Linked DNA regions of Kluyveromyces lactis. The protein of the gene in region 2 binds, or shares a complex with, the protein of the main gene of each other region. Links are inferred from orthologs where the notes say so. Each region holds a gene or a part of one and is shown on either strand. Other genes may lie near its edges.

Region 1 (3,377 bases), on a different chromosome or scaffold from region 2:
AAATCTCGCTGAGAATAATCTTTACTACAGTCCTTCCGGAAGCCTTGAGCTTAGTTTCGAGATTTTCAACTGTTGCTAGATTACCTTGTCTACCTAACGCGCCAAGTATCAAACCAACTTTCTTCGAACTGCGAGCTTTATCAATGGCAGATGCTCTTACCTCTACCAATTGCTTCTGATCGTAACGTTCTCTGGTGAATCTTCTATTATAGGGATCATATCTGAAAGCAGGAATTTCAGGGTTATGAATCATGGCCGATTCTAAATGAAACCTACCATCCCCAACATAAACCATCGCATCTATTTGTTCCTTGTTTAGTCTTTCAGAAGTACACCCAAGAACTTCACCCTTCGAAAGTGGTTTGATCTGAGGGGGGATGATATATAACATGTGTTCCTCCGACTGCAACAATTTGTCCTTCATACTATGGATAGTTGGATTAAACTGAATTGTTCCGAATGCAGCAATCCGTGAACCTCTTGGGAAGTTCTTCTGTAACGTCTTTATTAGATGTGTCTCATCAATATTGATAGTGACAAAGATGTAAAGTACCTTGATAGTAGTAATATCGATCGGAACTAAGCAGGAATGTGCATAATGGACAATGAAATCACAATCCAACGATCTTGCTGTATAGTCATCAATACAGCATGCACCATAAGAAACATCGCCCATAACCACAATCTCACACTGACAGAACTGCTCCAAAATATCACTTATCACCAAAGAGTATATGAGCAACCCTTCAGGCATTTGAATAGCAACACGCTTTGCTTTGTGCTTTCTAATGTTCCATACAGTTTTATGTATTTCAAAGTTATAGTTCGAGGGAAGAAGCTTGATAGCAGCATTTAACTCTTCGTCATTTAAAAGCTCCGGCGGTATCTGATTAATAGCATGACGAATGTTAGTCTTAGGCTTGATTTTCTTCACTAGCTCAGTGGTTGATCCCGAGGGATCACTTTCTTCTGCAGCTTTTTTGATACCAACAAACCTTCTTCTAGGCTTTTTCTCAACTTCACCCATAGTCATCACAAAAGGCGCTATTTAGCAATTGGAGCACAACACTTGCAGTTAAATGGTGTCTGGAACAGTAAAACCTAAACCGACTCATCTCATCTCATCTGTTGGTAATTCTTTTCAAATATCCAAAGTTGGAAATTTTTCTTTCTTTTCTGTAATCGTCTAAGTAATTTCTGATGACTGTAATTCTAAAAGGTCAAGGTATGTGCCACTGAGATGGGATTATATGTCCTTTTTAGTTGCTATAAACATAACTATCTGAATTGCTAATTTGACCACCCATTAATTTCAGAAACTATACAAGAAGTAACTTGGTACCGGAGTTTCGTATTTTACCGGTATAGTGTTCCTAATGATAACTCCAAGATTTACTGTCACTCAGGATGATGAATACATTTATGTACAAATTAAGGTGTCAAGCATAAGGTTTAACAGTGCTGGTGTAGAGGTTGTAATAGATGGTTGTATGTTTATCTTCCATTTGTCGCCGTATTATTTGAGGTTGAGATTATCAGATGAATTGGTGGAGGATGAAACTTTAAATACAGTGGAATATGATTCCAAACAAGAGAGCATCAATTGTAAGATTCTGAAGGCAGTTAAAGGTAAAGAGTTCAAGGACTTAGATCTCGCTAGCAAATTATTGGCAGCAAAGAATGAACCTAAAGTGACAGATGGGCCGTTGATTCAAGAAATTAGTAATGAGAAAGAATCAATTGCTGATATTCGAGAAGAAGGAGAGCATTTTGATTGGGAAATCAAACAAGAGGTTCAAGTAGATAATACACCAACAACGAAATACGGTTTCGATAATCTTTATACAGGATATATTGTTATGTCCGTTGCAAATGGCAATGACATTAACGAATTGGATGATCCTGAACATACTTCTCCCGAGAACAGAGTCAAGGAAAGATTGAAGAAGGAAAATTTGAAATTTGATCCAGAGTACTATGCTGCTGAATATATAACCATAAAACAGGGCGATGAAGAGGAAATCCAGATTAATGGCATAAAAAGATTGCTTGGGTACCTTCCTCCTCTTTGCGAAAGGTATCAGCAGTGGTTCGAAAGGTCAGACAATGAATCGAAGGAAAGAAATGTATCTTTTCCTGTGGAGTTCACCGAAGCGGAACAGACTCAGATGCAAGACCACATTCCTAAAAAGAAGTACTTAATAAATGACGTTAAAAGCCAATATCTAACGATATTATCAATATTATATTCTTACACTTTTGAGCAGATCGAAAATGAGGGACAACATACAACTGAAAGCCAATGGACAATCGGTAAATTGACCCCACAGATCTCAATGTTGGACCAACAGATTCTTCTATCCGAGTCTTTAATACATTTCTCTCAAATCAAAGGTACCATAGTAACAGGTATTAGAAGAGCTCTCAGCTATCCGTTGCATCGTAACTATGACCTCTGTATCAAAGCATGGCAGTTGGCTATCAAGCTGTTACTTGGAGGGAAACGTTTGGTAATAAAAGCGTTATTGGATATCCATGAACTATTCCGATACCATGATGTCTACTACGTTTACAATAAAATTCTGTTGGATGATCTTTGCGCATGGTTCATTTCTCAGGGAAACGATAATGTGATTCAATCACTAGCACTTCAAGCAAAGAAAGAGCTTGAATCGATCACAAAATCAGACATTGAATTTGAATGTATTTCAGGAATGAATGAGGAGACTGGCGAGGTTGAATGGGAAACATTGAATATCTCCGAAATAGAATATTTAGCAGAACAAGAAGAAATAGTACAATGAGTGCACTTATATAGATCAATTTTCCAACCATCTTTAATCCGGTAGTATCAATCAGGTATTTAATAAATTGTCCACATAGTTAGGACCTTTCAATAATGTTCGAGGAGGAGAAGGTGAGATCTTTTTGATATCATCGATAGTGGTGTCATTGCTACTATCATCACCGAAAGCATCGTCATTTGTTCCAACGGAGGATGGGTCAGATTCTTTTTCTACCTTTGAATTATTTTTTCCCGACGTGGGACTATCCCCATGATCATTAACATTATTTCCAATAGCAGAGCTACCTCTTGAATTCGACTGTTTAAAAGCAACCTGATTGATGGAGTTCAAATCAATGACACCAAAAGCAGAGTTTGTAGAATGTGTTCTTCTATGTTTCCTTACTGCATGTGGAAACGATGAAGGGCCCGTCGTCGTGAGTTTTCTTCCAGACCCTGGGTGATTCCCTGATAGATTTTGACCGTTATATGTTTGCCAAGCCGAAAAGTTTAACACTCCAGTCGTTGGTTCATTTTTGAAGATGGGCATTGACATCATTCTCTTATGTATATGCCTTTCAGAACCAATCGT
Region 2 (3,573 bases):
ATACAAGGAGAATTATTCAATGATTGTTAATACTGGTAAAGTAAGAAACGGGACGTTTCATTGTGACACCTCGACTTCTGTTCACAATGTAACCATTTGCATAGATTTTAACCTTCATTTACCTTTTTATTGAGCAAATGACATCATGCAAATAAAAGACATACCAATCTGCAAGTTTCCCGACTTCTATTTGGTTCCGAACAATTGATGTCTGCCAAAAAAAAAAAAACTCCAAGTATTATTATCAAATCTTCTATCTACCTCATACATTTACCATTACTTTTTGCCATTACTTCAATTGAAGACGTAATGGTGTCTTCACACGCGCATAAATAATTTACAAATTTATATATACGAATACAATGATATACAACATCGACACAGGGTACAAAAAACAGTCGTGACGAAATACGTTTTTCAATGATTAAAAATATTCTACAGTGTACATAACCTAAATGATAAACTCTATGCAGTTTTGAAATTTCGATCGATGATATGAAGGACTTAGATTGTAGTCGTTTATTTCTTTGACTTCTTCTTCTTCTTCTCGGAAGACTCATCATCGTCAGCCTTTCTCTTCTTCTCCTTCTTCTCCTTCTTTTCCTTTTTCTCCTTCTTGTCCTTCTTCTCCTTCTTTTCCTTCTTGTCCTTCTTTTCTTCTGGTGTCTTTGATTCTTCCTTTGATTCTTCCTTCTGTTCGACTTCCTTCTTTTCTACTTCTTTGATCAGTGGTTTTTCTTCTGATTTGGATGCAGGGGCGGTAGTTGGTTCAGCATTCTCCAATGAAACGTAAGTCTTCTTCCAGGTCTCTGGAGTATTTTCGTTGGCACGGCCATATTTGTCTAGCTTACCGTCAGCCTTCATTTGTTTTTTCTTTTGGGCAATTGGACCAAGACCCCATCTTCTTGGATATAGGTCTCTTTCCATGATACATCTCTTAACCTTGGCAACAACTCCGTGGTCACAAGTAGCTAAATCGACAGTAGACATTTGAGCAATGGCAACTGCAATGGCCTCACCCTTGGTGGTGATTAATACAACTTCGTCATATAATTCAATACCTTCCTCATAACGAAGTAGACCTGGAATCATCAACTTGGCACCGTAACAAACAGCGTTAACAGCAGAATCTTTGACAACAATTCTTTTGTAACCGACTAATAGAGTTTCTAATGGTTGAATGATCTTTCTTAGGTAGGATTCATCCCTGGTGTTATCGTATACCCATTGTGCATCCATAACATCATGTAGGGTGACCAAGTTATCGTTTTCGGACAAAGCACCGGATCTAACACGACGCAACTCTTGCATATGGCCACCGACACCTAAAAGCATACCAAGATGGACACATAAAGTTCTCATATAAGTACCAGCTTCACAGGAAGCCCAGAAAACACCCAAGTTCCTCTTGTTGTCAAATTCGATCAAGTTGGAGTCATAAATGGTACGGACACGTAATTGACGCTTAACAGCAGAAATTAAAGGAGGTCTTTGGAACAAAGCACCAGTCAAATTTTCTAAACCTCTGCCCAATTCCTTCTCGTCCTTAAGGGCATCGTGCAATCTAACGATACAAACATACTCTTTACCAGCACCTTGTTGAGACTTGACCAATCTGGTAGCTCTGTCAACACAGACGATCAAACAACCAGTGACTTTAGGATCTAAAGTACCAGAATGACCTGTTTTTTCGCAACGCAAGATACGCTTGATCCAAGCAACAACTTCGTGAGAAGATGGGTTTGAAGGTTTGTCCAAATTGATGACACCAGAACTGATATATGACTTCAAATCTCTCTTCAAAGGAGAGGCACCAGCTGGAATTGGTGTGTAATGACCACTTCTGACTAATAGTTTGTCATAGTCCTTCAACAATAAAGGCCACTCACTAGTGTTACTAGATGGTGAAACACTCTCTGGCTTAATAACAAATTCGTCAGACATCGATCTCTATCTTACTTATTAGCTTTCTAACGAACAATCCAGTACACTATCTCCTTCAAATATCGAGAGAAAACAATAAAAGGATAGTAGCAACAATATCGTAAAGCAGAATCTACACTAAAGTGACAGTTTTTAGTCCAGTAAGATGAATCTACTTCTAATAGAACTCTATACTTTTCTTGTTAAAGCTCATCTCATCTCATCGTCTTCATCAAATTTTTTTCTTCAGGTAGAAAATTTTCAGATATCTCAAAAAGCAATTATTTCCGGGTAATGAATTATATTCACCTTGACGTTTAAGTATATATGACAGACATTGGAAATAGCATTGCCAAGTGAGAGTAGTTTTTATAGCCTTCTAGGAAGTGAGTTTGCATTTTTATTTAATGGACTAAACTAGCTGCTAATATGTTCATTATGTTAGGTTAAATTCTGTTAACTTAGTACGCTGTTTTCATTCAGATAGATTCCAAGTACTTGGCGTTATAGTTGTTCTTCAAAGCGCTAGCCCAGTTCCTAGTGGATAACTGTGCGATATTTGAAGTTGAATAATCTGTCTCAATTCCAGTTGAAAATATGGAATCTTCTTTGTCTGGCGATAGCTCTGATGTGTTTTGGTTTTGCTTCCACTCTCGGAGCTTTTGTATAATTTGTTTAGCGTTGTGTTTCGACCTTGAGGAACAGTTGCTATTCACATTGGCTACTTTAAGCTCACGGAGTGAATCATTAAAACCTTGTTTTTGTTCTGATATGTAGTGTAACTCTTCGTTTCTATTGTCTTTATTTTCTATGCCATCACTAACACTTGTAATGGTGATCGCAGGTTTGTATTCTGGTTTGGGCTTGTTGGAGACCATATTGTCTCTGATATTTTGGAACATATCTCTTTTCTTCATAAAATAATTCAAAGTCCGGTTTGTAGACCCGAATCTATCCACATTATTGCTGTATATGGCACTAAGCGCAGATTCTGCTTTAAGAGTAACTTTTAAGGCACTACTTAAAGTTTTCTCGTAATTAGTCCTGTAGCTTTGTAGTTCATTATGATACATGTCAGCATTTTTATCTATTTCACGTTTCATCGCTAACAACCTTTTTTGAAACTTCTCATTGAAAAATGCAAGGTCTTCCTTCTTCTTTTTGATAACCTCGTCATGTTTTGACTTTAAAACTATGTTTTCATTACTTAAAATTGCAACTTTTGTCTCAAGTCCCCTGTATCTGCTCTCATTATTTTTTATTTCTGTCACCTTGTTGTCTATTATCAGATCCAATAGACTGATACGGTGGTTTAACTTAACGATTTCCTCTTCTTTTGAATCCAATGCCTTCTCGTAGTCTGTTCTGTCCCAAACCTTTAAAATTCTGCCTCTTTCAGCCTTTGAGAGATCTTTTAATTTAGCAATTTCCCTTTCATGCTTCACTGACAAAAGCTCCAAATCCTTTGCCTTTGTCTCCACTTGCTTTTTCAAAGAACGATTTTCTACCTCCAATGAGCTTATTATAATGTTTTTTTCCGTGACAATGTCCTGTAATTGACGATATGCACTGGCAACTGCCTTCAAAGATTCATTTTCTCTCTCTAACAAAGAGCAATTCTCGGTATAGAACTCACATCTCTCTGTAAGT
Region 3 (2,051 bases), on a different chromosome or scaffold from region 2:
ATTATCGTCACGTCTATTCTTCCTACCACCACGTTTCCTCCCCTTAAGCCTCATCATCCGTTCCTCCTTCAACCTCTCCTCGTCCCGTAATAACGCCGTCAACTCTTTCGCCTTCACTCTGACAATCTCACCGTTATCGATCTCGGTAAACTCATCGGTGTGTGTAAACTCACGCAACGTCTTAATAATGTAAAGGTTCTCTTTACACCAGAACACACAGTTCTCTGATCCGCATCTCACCAAGAAATCTAGACACGTTAGTGACTTGGCGACATGTCTCCAGTTCCGGCCTTTATCGTTTAATCTCTTGTCCAACATATCCATGATCTCGAAAAATTCCACGTTATCAAATGTCCTTTCAGCCAACTCTTCCAACTGATCAACGGACGGACCGTCCTTATCGTTAGAAGTGGCACTTCTAACGAGAACCTGAGCCTGAGAGTACCCATTGACTAAATTCTTTGCACTACGAAGAAATGCTTTGGACATCGTATAAATTTATCTGATCTCTTTAGTTTCTCGTAGAACTTACGAACCGAAACTCCTATATTACTGTTAATTTCGTTTTCAACACGATATACAACCTTCCGCTGTTTTCAACACAGGACCAAAATATATTATTCTTATCAGTGACAAGCCCTATGTCTATATCAAATTAAAGCTTTAATAGTCAATGTCTGTTCCTGTTCCTATTCCTATTCCTATTCCTATTTCTATTTCAATTTCAAATTTCGTTTTCGTCTTTTTTCATTTTTCCTTTGAAAGTTCCAGTTCCAGTTCCAGCTTCAGTTCCTGTCATAAAAACACTCATAGTAAGCAGGGTCCTTAACTATGTGTGGAAATGAGACCCCTTTTTTATAGGAGAGTGGCCGGGTAATACAAATAAAATACAAATAAAATACACACAGGTCACGTGAACACCCGATTACAAAAGTTTATCAATCAATCGATCATTGGAACCGATCCAGCCTCCTTCGTTTTACACGTGACTAGAAAAAGATAATCAAAACACATATCGCTACTTACGTTAGAGAATATATCATCAGATCACATGATACGAACTGGAATATTTCTTTTCCATCAAGTGCATCTGCTAAATTTTCAAAGAGATATAATCAGTTTTTCAACATAGCATTAACTAACTGATCGGTATAGCTCATCGCTTGAAAGAAAGTGTCTTGTTATCCATATATCTAGTTCCTTTTCACTTCCAACCAAAAGCATCTATCACACTCTACCCACTACCCACTATGCATTTGATGTACACTTTGGATGCCCAAGGCAAGAGAATCTATACTTTGAAGAAGATGACTGAGGATAATGAAATTACAAAGTCTGCTCACCCTGCTAGATTCTCTCCAGATGACAAATACTCCAGACAAAGAGTTACTTTGAAGAAGAGATACAACCTTTTGCCAAACTAAGGTCCCTACAAGTTGGAACACAATCCGCAGACAAAATTGCACCGGTTAAAACTCACTGAACATGAACAAAAAAAATTAATCCATTATTATCTGTAAATTAGAATCAGTACGGTCCTGAAACCGACTATAAAAAGGCGTATGTATATACGTACATACTACATCACTTAAGTAACTGCTTTTTTTTTTTAATAAATTCTTCTCGTTAGAATATATGTGAGACCTTACAATGGGTCCTGTTTCTTGGAAGTTGCCTGCAACTGGAAATCAACAGATTCTCTATAGTTCTCACACATTTGTGACATCAGTTCCAAATTCTTATTCTTGGTGTTTACCCTTCGAAGCTCTTGGTTTAGTATCACTACACTCTGGTTCAACCTTTCGACATTGCCAATGATTCTAGCCAGAATATTGCTTTGAACTTTCTCATACGGGTTTTCCATGGTATGTATCACAAATATAACTGATGACGGATAGTTATACACCAGTTTTGTAGCCTCTAGTGCCTGTGTTTTCCTTGTGGTTTACATTTTTGACCGATGTTTTGCATTTGAATACATGTTGGATGCTATTATAAACCTTTTTTTTTTTTTTTTTAAATGATGAAAATTAGTACCTGCCCCAAAGCAG

Evidence for each region.
Region 1: the proteins of CBF5 (region 2) and SHQ1 are in contact, whole or in part, in a crystal structure (PDB 3ZV0), measured with the Saccharomyces cerevisiae proteins. The link is inferred for Kluyveromyces lactis from reciprocal best matches to the Saccharomyces cerevisiae genes CBF5 and SHQ1. Residues at the interface, in NP_013276.1 of Saccharomyces cerevisiae: Ser20, Glu21, Trp22, Pro23, Leu24, Lys27, Leu49, Lys50, Arg51, Asp52, Ser274, Asn277, Ala278, Tyr281, Gly282, Ala283, Lys284, Pro288, Val336, Lys337, Arg338, Cys339, Arg343, Asp344, Pro347, Arg348, Arg349, Trp350, Leu352, Gly353; in NP_012162.3 of Saccharomyces cerevisiae: Ser181, Val182, Thr184, Ser185, Asn186, Gly187, Asp189, Lys215, Asp217, Pro218, Glu219, Tyr220, Val222, Ser223, Glu224, Met226, Thr227, Glu237, Ile238, Asn239, Thr319, Thr321, Thr322, Glu323, Trp326, Tyr379, Pro380, Leu381, Arg383, Asp421.
Region 3: the proteins of CBF5 (region 2) and NOP10 are in contact, whole or in part, in a crystal structure (PDB 3U28), measured with the Saccharomyces cerevisiae proteins. The link is inferred for Kluyveromyces lactis from reciprocal best matches to the Saccharomyces cerevisiae genes CBF5 and NOP10. Residues at the interface, in NP_013276.1 of Saccharomyces cerevisiae: Asp65, Lys66, Pro67, Ser68, Trp78, Ile82, Thr99, Val124, Ile126, Ile175, Glu176, Asp178, Arg181, Leu183, Val185, Gln214, Glu215, Leu216, Arg217, Val219, Glu226, Asn227, Thr232, Leu233, His234, Met237, Asp238, Trp241, Tyr251; in NP_058135.1 of Saccharomyces cerevisiae: Met1, His2, Leu3, Gly11, Lys12, Arg13, Tyr15, Thr16, Leu17, Lys18, Ala30, His31, Pro32, Ala33, Arg34, Phe35, Ser36, Pro37, Asp39, Ser42, Arg43, Arg45, Val46.

The regions. Positions count from the first base shown.
Region 1 is NC_006042.1:372,246-375,622, reverse strand, and holds SHQ1 (Hsp90 cochaperone SHQ1), read left to right. Parts: upstream 1-1,376; coding exon 1,377-2,804; downstream 2,805-3,377. Other genes in the region: DPH1 (2-(3-amino-3-carboxypropyl)histidine synthase), read right to left, coding at 1-1,033; BOP3 (Bop3p), read right to left, coding at 2,856-3,377.
Region 2 is NC_006040.1:407,676-411,248, reverse strand, and holds CBF5 (pseudouridine synthase CBF5), read right to left. Parts: upstream 1,945-3,573; coding exon 520-1,944; downstream 1-519. Other genes in the region: KLLA0_D04774g (uncharacterized protein), read right to left, coding at 2,403-3,573. UniProt on the Saccharomyces cerevisiae protein: Catalytic subunit of H/ACA small nucleolar ribonucleoprotein (H/ACA snoRNP) complex, which catalyzes pseudouridylation of rRNA. This involves the isomerization of uridine such that the ribose is subsequently attached to C5, instead of the normal N1.
Region 3 is NC_006039.1:1,464,564-1,466,614, forward strand, and holds NOP10 (snoRNP complex protein NOP10), read left to right. Parts: upstream 1-1,250; coding exon 1,251-1,424; downstream 1,425-2,051. Other genes in the region: ENT1 (epsin), read right to left, coding at 1-489; DAD4 (Dad4p), read right to left, coding at 1,646-1,864.